Drosophila melanogaster: one gene and its partner. The protein of the gene in region 1 interacts with the protein of each later gene in a pairwise test. Each region holds a gene or a part of one and is shown on either strand. Other genes may lie near its edges. The genes, in order: CG8306 and CG13299.

Region 1 (7,873 bases):
CGCCGGGTCCGGCATTTGGCCTACGAAAGGGTCAGATTAGATTACAGATAAGCTGGAACTTTGGACTCCCCTCGGAGACTCAGTCACTGCACTGACTCACCTAGGCGCCATGGCCTTGAGGCTGAAGACATCCGTGCGCTGGGCGCTCCGTCGCTGGTGGCGCACCGCGCCCAATCCACTCGACTGACTGTCCGTGGAGGAGCCGACGGAGTCCGTTTCCGAGTGCTCACTGTCCGTTTCTGGGCTCCGCATCCTCGGTTGGTTCTCAGTACATGATTTCTTTGAGCTCGGCAAGCGTTTGTGTGTCCGCAAATGGGTCAAGTGCGGAGAAAAGCCCTCGCTTTTCCTGCACACTTCGGCCAATTGATGAAGTTTTGCATGCACTGGACCAGCTGGTCGTTTGCTGTTGTTGTTTTTGTTGGGAAACTGTTGATTGGGGTTTGGGATGCACTTGGGTATTCGATGGCGTCCACTGGTGAGGTCACACTAAATTCGATGTGACCAGGTCTTATGCACCTCGGTGGGAAGTTTAAAAACTTAAAAGCTTGAAAATTTTACACTTTTTAAACCGCTCAAAAAGCCTGATATTACCTCTGAATCTTTATAATGTGGCTTAAAGTAAAAGTAGATCTAATTTTATACCAGATTTTAACTATCAATAGAATCCTCTTTAGGGCTTTCCTTTAATAAACTTTTCCTTTTAAATCAAAAAAGAGCGGCGCTTGTTTTTGTATTTATATTGTAAAACCAAACCTCATACAAAGTGCATTAAGCATAAATAACATTGAGAAAATGTTGAACTATGTGGGAATATTCATCGACTTCTTAAAGCAGTCCAAAAAGGTAGTAAAGGACGGGCAGGACAAGAGCTGCTTTAGCCGTCGAGATTCCGGTGAGGCACACGATCAACTTGAAGACTCCATACCAAAACGAGAGCTGCAGCGCCACATGAAGACCCAGGAGACTAGAAAAGTTAAGGGTTAGTATGGTAACTTACATAGTATTATTGAAGATATTTACATTTTGTCCTTGCGACGCGCCTTCTCCAGATTCTTGATGGGCTCCTTGCTGAGATACTGACGCACGCCGAGGATCGTATTGGAAAAGTACTCATCCCACGCCAGCTCCCCGATGTCGATGAAGAACTTCTTCTTGTCCACTATGTTCAAGGTCTTCGATAGCGCCAATAGACGCTTGCTGTCAAAGTGCCACTCGGTGAAGATGAACTTTTCCAGGGTATTCAGTGAGTTCCAAACGTTCTTGTGCAGACGAACCAAGCTAAAAGTTAAATGAAATCATGTAGGCTACTAGGAAATAGGTGTACCAATATTATATGCTTACATAGGCCTGCCGCCTCCAATTTTCGTGACCAGATCCAGGATAATAGCGGGTATGAAATGAAACAGAATGGCGCTCAGTCGGAAGACCCAGAGGCTCTTCACCAGACGCAGGTTGGGATACCAGACGGCACTGTTCAGAGGATAGTCGTGCAGATAGCTGTTGATCTTGTCCGTCATCAGCTCAAAGCGGAAGGGTTTGTATGTGCTGGAGGTCAGGTGGAAGATCTGCAGATCGGCCGGGCGTCCTCCGTTCTTCGCCTGCAGCGAGTTGACATAATAGCCAGTGGTTATGATGCCATTGACCACCACATCGATGGGTATGTAGTCCATAATGATGCTGGGATCCAGGGGAAGGCGACGCAGTACGCCCTTCGATGCGCCCATGAAGAAGCCCTGCGGACCGTTCTTCGAAATGGTCCATCCGGGAATGGGTTCCTTCCAAGCGGCGGTGACTTTAGCACATTACAAAGAATCATTAGTTTCTGGAAGAAAATTAATATTCTACCTAATACTCACTCATACTCGGACGAACAATGCCGCAGGGGAACTTGCTGGCCACATTGGCCACCTCGTGCTCCGCCAGATGCTTTGTAAAGGTATAGGTATTGGGGTGATCCTTCAGAAGTCTGGGAGATGATAATTCATTATTTCTAAGCATAAACCCTTTAGTTTAGTTAAGAGCCACTCACTTTGGTTCCAGTTCCTTGAGGGCATCATCGTTGAGCGTCTCCGAGAGCTGGATGATCTTCTCTGGATCTTCGGGCGCGGGATATAGCTTCTCCTCGACCTTGGTCAGATAGGCATTCACATAGGCGCTGGACACATGGACCAAAGCATCCAGGTTCTTGATCTGCTGGCACAGCTCCACAACTCGCCGAGTGCCCCTCAAGTTGATGTTGGTGGTCTCCTTCAGAGATTGAAAGAAGTCCAAAGTGGCAGCCGAGTGAAAGACAACATTCACGTTGTCGATCAGGGTCTGGCGATCCTTCGGCGAGATGCCCAGATGCTCCAAGCCGACATCGCCTTCGATGGGCACGATCTTGGAGAGACGCGACTGCAGCTGCAGTTCCTTGAACTTGTCGAAAACGGAGTTCTTCTTCAGCTCCTCCAGTCGCTCCTGCACACTCTTGCCCTTCTTGGCGCGCATCAGCAGGTACAGTGTGCCCACGTTGGGAACATCGCGCAATAGTTTCTCCACAATGGTGACGCCCACGAAGCCAGTGGCGCCCGTGATGAAGACATTGCGACCCGCATAGAAGTCTGTGATGGGTGAGCTGAAATATGAAGGGTTTACCAATCAGTTCAGTGCCGTCTATTCTGTTTATATAACGAATACGACCAAATTTACAGACGTCATAAAAAAGATGAACCAAACTTTCTCTCGTCGCCCATTCAAATGGTCCAATGGAGACGCCATTGTGCTTACGACACTCGTTCACCCGTAAAAACCTTCAGGGTAGCGCATCTTGGCTGTTTGTCCCGCTAAAAACCCGTTTTTATCGTGGGCTCCCAGTTCTGAGTGCCCATTGTATTTCTTCTAATATTGATACAACTAATGATTACTTAGCAGGTGTCGACTGGCGGGCGGTTCAATGCCGGAATGCAAAGCAATCTCGTGGGTGTCTCTGGTTTCTTTGTACTTTGATTGGAATCAAGTCGTGCGCTTAAACGCATAAATCAAATGGTTTGATCTCTAAAGATTTTCTTTAGTTTCTATCAATAAATAGGATTTTAGCCCACTCTTTTGGATTCATTATTCATCCAAGTCAATTCTTAAAGATATCATGCTTTTAACAGTAAATGTACTTTGTTTTTTGCTGCAAATCAGTTAAGATAAGCTCTTTAGCTTTGGGGAATTCCCATTTCCACTTTGCAATCGCCTAATTTTCGAACAATTTCGATCAAATTACAAAACGTATTGGGGCTCCAGCAAACACGCAACATGTTCATTCAATTAGCCATGTCTGGCGCATTTCTCTTTTAATGACCTCCACTCGCTGTCTCCGCTATATTTTTTCTTTATGCCAAATGATTTTATAATGACGAACATTGAAGATGAATTCTTTGGTTTTTACTCCCCTCTAACGATGCGTGATATAATTTCTGCATAACAAATGTGTTGCATTTACATTTCCCATATTTGAATATGCAAACAAAAACAAAAAAAAACAAAAAATCAGACGAAATGCAAATTTTCTTTTGAGCAATTAAAGGAAACCCTCGAGATTGCAGAGCCGTCACAAGTAAATAAAGTGCAGTTGAAGCCTTTGCAGGTGCTCATATTTGCACACACGAAATGGCAAGTCATCGTTTTAGCCAGGCTCACAGTTCAAACGCTCGCTTGTTAGCCAAGTTAAGCTTTCACTTTGTGGACCAGCGAATTTGGGGTGAAAAGGGACAGGTGACCCAATCAACACAAATGGCTAATAACTCATCAAGCGTTTTTCCTGAAGTTTCTTATTCACTCCCTTTCTTGGCCAACTCTTTGAAATTAACTTTCTTATCAGCTTTAAATCAACTTCTGAGATTAGATTTTTCTGTTGGCCAGTTCGGTGCTTATCTGGCTTAATTAAGTGAGCCGATTTATGGTGGCAGTGCTACTTGAAATTTGTTTCAAATTATGGTTTTGCTTTGCCTTGGAACTGATACTACTGTATGAATTGTGCACAGTATTTAATGGAACTTGGCTACAAGTGAGGAAATAAGCAATAAAGTGGTGTTATTTGAAAAATCAAGCTTAGTGCCTTAATAATGCCTTGCATAATGCGATATCATTTGCCACAGTTTACCGCATTCCGTTGAGACTGGCGTTAAGAACCCCCATATCATTAGCATTGCACATAAACTTAAATGCTTGCCCACCCCGGCAATTAAGCCACTCGACTTTGAGTAAGTAAGTAACTGACCCTACCAACTGCAATCAACCTTGTGAGCGGCCATAAATCTCTGGCATATTATTATTAATATTCGTCCCGAAAATGTTTCGAACAACCTGTCGTCAGGATGCGATGGCCATAATATGTAATGATCTTGTTGTCCCGCGGTTCCTTTTGATTTCAATAATCTGTAATTTTCCGGTTGATTTCCGGCATGCCCACCACTGCATCATTGACGTCATTTGGCTGAAAAGGCGGCTTTTGACTTGCAAAAGAGTGTATTCGAACAGGTCAAAGATTTAGCTTGAAAACTGGAATGTCTAGCCCTGTTTGCATCTCCCTCTCCAATTGGCTAGCACTGCATAGCCACCTTTAGCGGGTTAATGAAAAATTTCCATTGTTCTCCCATTGCAGGTGACTCTCAGGTGATGGATTCTCGCTGGCGAAAGTGTCCGACCAAATGACCCACTGTCAGCTCGTAATGAAGTAGAATTAGCCGCCGACGCAAGTGTTAATTATAGTACAGTGTGACCCCAATAGCACGAACTATTATGTTATGCATTAAACTTTTGAATTGAGTTCCAAAAGCAAAGGCTATGTAAGATTATAGATCACTAATTCCACTTAAAGTGAATGCGCTTTTATTGGTCATCTAGTTTTAGAGTAGTTTAAAGTTCAAGTTTTGGAAAGTTGGAATAGATATGTTGATCCACTGGACTTCTGGCTTATATGAATGATAAAGTCTACATATGTGAAAATAGTTAACAACACACACATATACCTAATTTATGGTAAGTAAGTGTTTTGAATCAAGATTCCCCATCACATGGAAAGTCTAGATGATTCGGGTATCTTTAGCTCGATGGCTTGTGTTCTCTACGCCAGATTTTTGTCGCATTTCGAACTTTGCTCCGTCTTTCTAACCTCACAAAAGGCGCTCGAAAGCGGGGAAAAGAAATAAAAAAAAAATAAAAAAAGCAGGTTGAAAGTTGTCAAACATGCTACCAAAATTAAATACAACCAAAATTGAGCAGAAGCCGTTGCTTAGAGCCAAATGTAGTGGGACTTACCTGGCCATGGTTTCTCAGCAGGTGTGGTTAACGTCAATAATAATAATGCCAATTGCAGTCTATCCGCTCGTTCTGATTATTTGTTTAAGACTAAAACTCGGCTTAGAACGTCGAAATTTCTCTTTTCCACGTAGCTCTCTTTCTTTTTATCGGCCTCCTCCTCTTCTTATTTATTCCGTCTTTCTATCTTTTACTCCACTGCTTTTGTTGTTGTTGCGATGCGACTGTAAACAAATTACCAACACCAGTGCAACTGCACGTGTGTGTGCCACAACGAACGTGCGTGTGTGTGTGTGTGTGTGTCGGCGTGTGCGAGTGCGAGCGAGGCAGCTGAATGGGCGAGTTTATCTTTATCTGCGTTTCTCCGATCCTCCGATTTTCGAACGTTAGCCGGCAACAGTAAAACTTCAACTGAATCTTTATGCCGTCAATGGCCAACGAAATGTGCTCGGCAGCAAGCGAACTGTTCGTGTATGATCATTAACTACGCTCCGCGGATCGTCATAATAACGATCACGATCGTCGGCCAAACCAGTTAGTCAGTGGCGTCTCAAAGGGGAGTGCCTATTTGGTTTGGTCCCCCACATATGTTTACTTTCTGATCTCATCACATACAATATGGTTAGCTCACTGAGTTTGCGGATACATTTTTCGCTATCTTGCAGATACTTTTTTTGTTATTTTAGCTGCATATGTATGTTTTCTCTTCTCGAGCATAAGAGAATTCTCTTCAGCTAGCGCCCCTGTCGGAATATTACCGAACTTACTTAGTGTACACCGTGTAGAAAGAGTGTAGCTAGGTGTCGCCACTGTGCATTGTCGAAAACGAAATGCATCGATTTTTAAGATGGACTTAAAAAATTATAAAACAATATTATTATAAGTTATACCAACCTCCATATAATAAAATATTACACACACCTAATAAAAACACACACATCCTTTCCTTAATATAAAAATCATATTTATTTGAATAATAGTTACATATTTAATCATTTAAAGTTTAGTTCTCGTATTCATCGACTATTTGACTATAAACCGGTTGATAATTACAAACAATCTAAAATTGTTTATTACTTTTACATTACGTGTTTAGTTAAAGTGACTAAGTTTTGGGCTACTTTTGCATTGCTGTGTGAATAGATTCGATATTAGTGCTGATTCATATGATACATTTCGCTGACTTGTACTTGGCTTGTGTGAAAGAACTTAAAAGTAAAATACATGATACCCTACTAGAACAAACTACGGATGGAAACGAACAACCATGTGTGGTAGCATCGCACTTGGAGCGGAAATATTGCACAATCCAACTGTTGGCGATTCGGATGCAGCCACTACAACCAGACGAGAAATCCCCAGATCAGAACCGCCAACGTAAGTCCGATCTGCAGGCCCAAAGTTAAAGTAAGGGCAAAGTAGAGAACGGCGAAGATGACCACATAGCCCGCGTAGTACAGGACGTTAAAGCTATAGACAGGACAGAAATGAAATGAAAATTGAAATTATGCTTTAGATCGGTGGAATGGATCACACTTACACCTTCCAGTAGTTGCGATGCCAATCCGTGGTCACTGCCGACTCCTTGAAGTAGAAACGCCGGATTCCTATCAGACACCGATCGATGAACTCCGACCAATCGCACTGACTGGCATCGAAATTATAGCGCCTTCGATCGCTCTCCGGTATTAATGCCGATATACGCAGCGCATTCTTCAAGGAATACCGGAAGTCCTTGTCCAGGAAGTAATCAAAGGCCTTGGTACCTTTCTGGAACACCCGCATGTACTCGTAGGCTCTAAAGTAGATAAATATTATGGTTAAAAGTTAAGTAGATCCAGCTTTTTGCAGTACTTACGTGTGCTGGGGCATTCCGATTCCGAATAGCTTCTCTGGTATGATAAAGACCATAGCTGGCAGCAAATGAAACAGATAGAAGAACAGATTGTAACGCCATCCGTTGCGCAATTTCGTCACCGGTTTCCAAACAAAACTGTTCGGCGGATGCCGCTCCACACTATCGTTGATGATCGTGCAGAACTCGGCGAGATTCAGAGGATTAACCTCTCCCGACGTGCAATGTATGATCTCCGGCTGCTCCAACTTCCGGGTGCCCACGTACCAGCCCATAACCAGTGATGAGTTGATCACATAGTCGCATGGTATGATGTCGATCACAGCATTTGCATTCCCGCACATGGTGCGAAAAATTCCCTTCACGAAGCCGGCCAAGAAGCCCAGGTGACCAGAGTTTGCATTGCCCACCCAGCCCTTCATCGGGTGCTCCAGGGTTCCATAAACTAAAAATGAAATGTTATTGATTAAGACATTTTACTGCCGAATGGAATCTCACCAATCGATGGCCTAACTATGGCTGCTGGCAGTCCCGACATCTCGGCCATCAGCAAATTCTCCGACAGATTCTTGGTGAACGTATACGTATTGGGATGATCACGGATATAGCCCTTGCACTTTTGATCGGTGAAATCCTCCCAGGCGGAGTCATCTTCGGCCATCTTCATCATCTCGTACGGATCGAACTGTGACTTGTACACCTCCTCGGCAATCAGACCACGATTGTTGCTAT
Region 2 (3,316 bases), on another chromosome or scaffold:
TTTGTGTAATTCAAGCCGGAAAGATAGTGGAGCAGGGATCTCACTCCCAACTTCTGGCCAAGAATGGCATTTATTCCAAGCTCTATCGCTGTCAGACGAAAGCCTCTTGAAAAGACTACGGAAAGACCAAAAGAAATCATTAAAATTAAGTTGGAAAACATTTTTCTAGTACCACAATGAGGCACGAAAGTATGCAGTGAATTTTTCTTAGCTGTTAGTTGGGACAAAAACCAATCTAATTTGGCCATAAGCAAAATAGTTGTTAAATAAATGAACATATAGATAAAGAATTATCTTAAACTTTTTCACTTTAGCAGGATGGCAAAACAAAAGTTTGAGGTGTGGGATCAATCTATATCACAAATTATTGTGACATGTATCGGTACCTTAATTCAATTTACGGTGCTTGTGTTTTATCTTATCTTTTAATATGGCAAAATTCGTTCATCGTTGTTTAAATTTGTGATAAGATAGGATAGTAAGCCTAACCGTTTATTTTTATTCACGCCGATCTTAATTAGTTGCCGCATTGCTATTTTTCATTTCATAGCGAAAGGTATTAGTTTTCCAGAATGAACGCAGTTGGCATTTTCATAATATGTCTGGGTGAGATTTTTTAAGTTATAGTAAGTAGTGACTTTGTAAAGATGTCCTTTCTAAAAACAGCATGTTCCCTTGGAGCGAATATTCCTCCAAAACCGTGCCAAGTGGAAACAAATTGTGGTACGGTGAATGAGACAAGTTCCATTTGCGGATTGGATGAGGAAATGGGTTGTATACGAAAATTTCCATCCAAGTGTCATTTGGATATAGCATTTTGCCATGAAGGAAAAAGTAAGTCCGATTATTAAACTTTAATCTCGCATATTATTAAATTATTTCATTTCAGATTTCACCGACTTTAATGAGGAATATTGCTCAATGGAATCGTATCTCTGTGAGATTTCACCCACATACGAACGCTGGACCATTTTCTTCGGGCATGAGAATTAATTCTAATTGAAAGTGCGAAAATTTGCTGCATTACGCTTATATAACAGAATTTATCTGTTTTCAAATTAAATTTTTTTCTCATTTCTAGAGTATTTTTACATAATATGAAATTAGTCCCGCATGATTGAAATGTTTTGGTTTAATTTCAACAACCAGAAAAGGGGAAAGAAAACAGCGTATAAATAAGAGAATTTGTGGGTATAAATATCAGTATACATTCTTCAAGACAGAGGAAGCCCTCTCTACGAACTCAGGACGCTCTTCTTTGGCCACCAGAAAGAGTGAGTGAAGACTTGGCTAATCGCCGACGACATACGTGTAAGTTCATTAGGTAGCATTTCAATAAACAATCAATCAACGCGCAACGGGCCATTCACGTGCCAGGCGACGTTGACTACGTCAAAGACCGGTAGGAGGTAACCGATGCCCAGCAGCGTTTTTTCCCACTCAGTGAGACAGAACGACGCCTCGAGCCTTTTATACGAATCTTAATTCGGATTTTTTGTGATCTTTTTTTATATTTGAGTTTTTTTTCTTTGCGTTATTTTTGGGTCTTCGACGGGTGCTTTGCATAATCTCTCGCCGCGGCGCCAATGCCCATTGGCCTCCTCCTTCAACGCCAATCAGTGAAGAGCTCCAGACTGGCACACTTGCACATATAAAAAGTGGACCCAACCGAATTTTGCTTGTCAGTTAATGCCCATCAATCGAATCAATCCCAGCACAGCCATGAGAAGCGCGTCGCTTAAGTTCTATCTGATATGTCTGCTAGTTATCTGCGGTTAGTGTTATTAACTAAAAATGTTATGCATCAAATGCAATTACCTGTGTCCGAATTTTTGCAGTGATCGGTTGGAGTGCTGGAGCACCGAGTCCGCAACTTTCACGTAAGGAACTCGAGGATCGATATCGACAAAAGCCCCCGGTGCCTGATGAGCGAGATGCGGATGCAGAATTGGATAGTGCCTACGATCGGAATACCCGAAGACCTTGAAGTGCAAATCTGAAAGGCTGGAGACACCCAACGCCCACAATTGATTTGTGGTTCTGTGTGGAGTGCCACTTTTTATGTCGTATTCAGGGTTATGGCTATGTAGTTCTAAGCTTAGGCAAAATGTACAAGCGTAAAATAAAGCAATTACTTGGGTGAAACGTGCGCATCGTTACTTTCCATTCTATCACGTAGAATGTGGGGCGACATCCGACGTCGGCTGGCGTCTATAAAATATGAACTCTCTGGCATTCGATTCAGTCAGTTATCAATCTCCGGCTAGTGCGAAAAGTACAATCAAAATGACCTCAGAAAGCAAGATGGTTTTGCTCTTCCTTATCGGATGTCTCGTCATGCAGACAAGTGAGTCACTGGATCATCTGGTATCATGACATTATTTTAAACCTAACTGCATTTTCTTTCAAGTCAACGCCCTGCCATTCGATAGATTCAGCCAGGAGGATGACGAACGGAACAACGAGATCAGCGGCGAATGGTTCAAGAAACCCATCCTCAGGTTCGATCGTCTTTTTGCCACCGAAGAATCACCGTCGGGAAGTCGGAAAGAAGTGAGAAGGCCCAGCAGAAGCGACAAGGGTGAAACCACGGAGAGCTCCAAGCACGCCCACTCCATGATCACCTCCATGCTCGGATTCGTGAGCAGTGTCATCAACTTTGGCAGGACCTTCATAAGGGATCAATAGAAAATATCCTAGTCCATCTGGCACATTTCGAGATTGCATTTTCCACATGTTGTAGGTTTAAATATTGTTGTTTAAATATTGCTTAAATATTGTTGTTCCAAAATAAAAGATTTGGCTTAAAACTATCAAGTATTGGATGTTAAAGAAAGCTTCTCTAAATCCTTTCCAATTTTCAACCAAAATTAAATTCAGCCTAGGTGTTACAATTAGAGGTTTAAAACAGAGTATTTTGAAGACCCATGGTTTAAATACTCACCCGCATATAAATTTCTCTTTAATCCATTCCGTTTTATAAAATTCATCTGTGTAAAGAAGCTAATTTTAATTCTTATTCATAAAATCAGAGCAAATTTACCAAGTAGCACTCAATAAGCTATAACACCGGCGGATTTTTCGGTTGCCCTTTAGGCTAACCATATAAAAACCCGACGGAGATTTTGGTGGATCCCACTATAAATTCTCTTTAATTCGCAGAAACAACCCAGAATTGCCTTTTTTAAAACTTAATCCTTTCCTTCTTTGCTTAATATTAAATTTACTCTTAACATAAATTACTTTTCCCAGCTGAAACTTTTGTTTTTCTTTAAATTTTTCCATGAAGCTTCTTATTTAATAAGATAAACACAAA

The links.
Region 2: the proteins of CG8306 (region 1) and CG13299 interact in a two-hybrid assay, tested with the Drosophila melanogaster proteins (one large-scale study listed by BioGRID).

The regions. Positions count from the first base shown.
Region 1 is NT_033778.4:16,588,797-16,596,669, forward strand, and holds CG8306 (uncharacterized protein), read right to left. Parts: upstream 5,851-7,873; 5' UTR 5,295-5,850; coding exon 5,287-5,294; intron 2,615-5,286; coding exon 2,030-2,614; intron 1,967-2,029; coding exon 1,857-1,966; intron 1,793-1,856; coding exon 1,342-1,792; intron 1,279-1,341; coding exon 1,021-1,278; intron 965-1,020; coding exon 826-964; 3' UTR 722-825; downstream 1-721. Other genes in the region: Dolk (dolichol kinase), read right to left, coding at 1-20, 101-252; CG8303 (uncharacterized protein), read right to left, coding at 6,624-6,756, 6,827-7,084, 7,145-7,586, 7,640-7,873. UniProt on the Drosophila melanogaster protein: Catalyzes the reduction of C16 or C18 fatty acyl-CoA to fatty alcohols.
Region 2 is NT_037436.4:6,231,295-6,234,610, reverse strand, and holds CG13299 (uncharacterized protein), read left to right. Parts: upstream 1-2,249; 5' UTR 2,250-2,286; coding exon 2,287-2,347; intron 2,348-2,410; coding exon 2,411-2,688; 3' UTR 2,689-2,806; downstream 2,807-3,316. Other genes in the region: CG10226 (uncharacterized protein), read left to right, coding at 1-110; CG42714 (uncharacterized protein), read left to right, coding at 573-606, 667-834, 890-993; BG642312, read left to right, coding at 1,690-1,774, 1,839-1,987.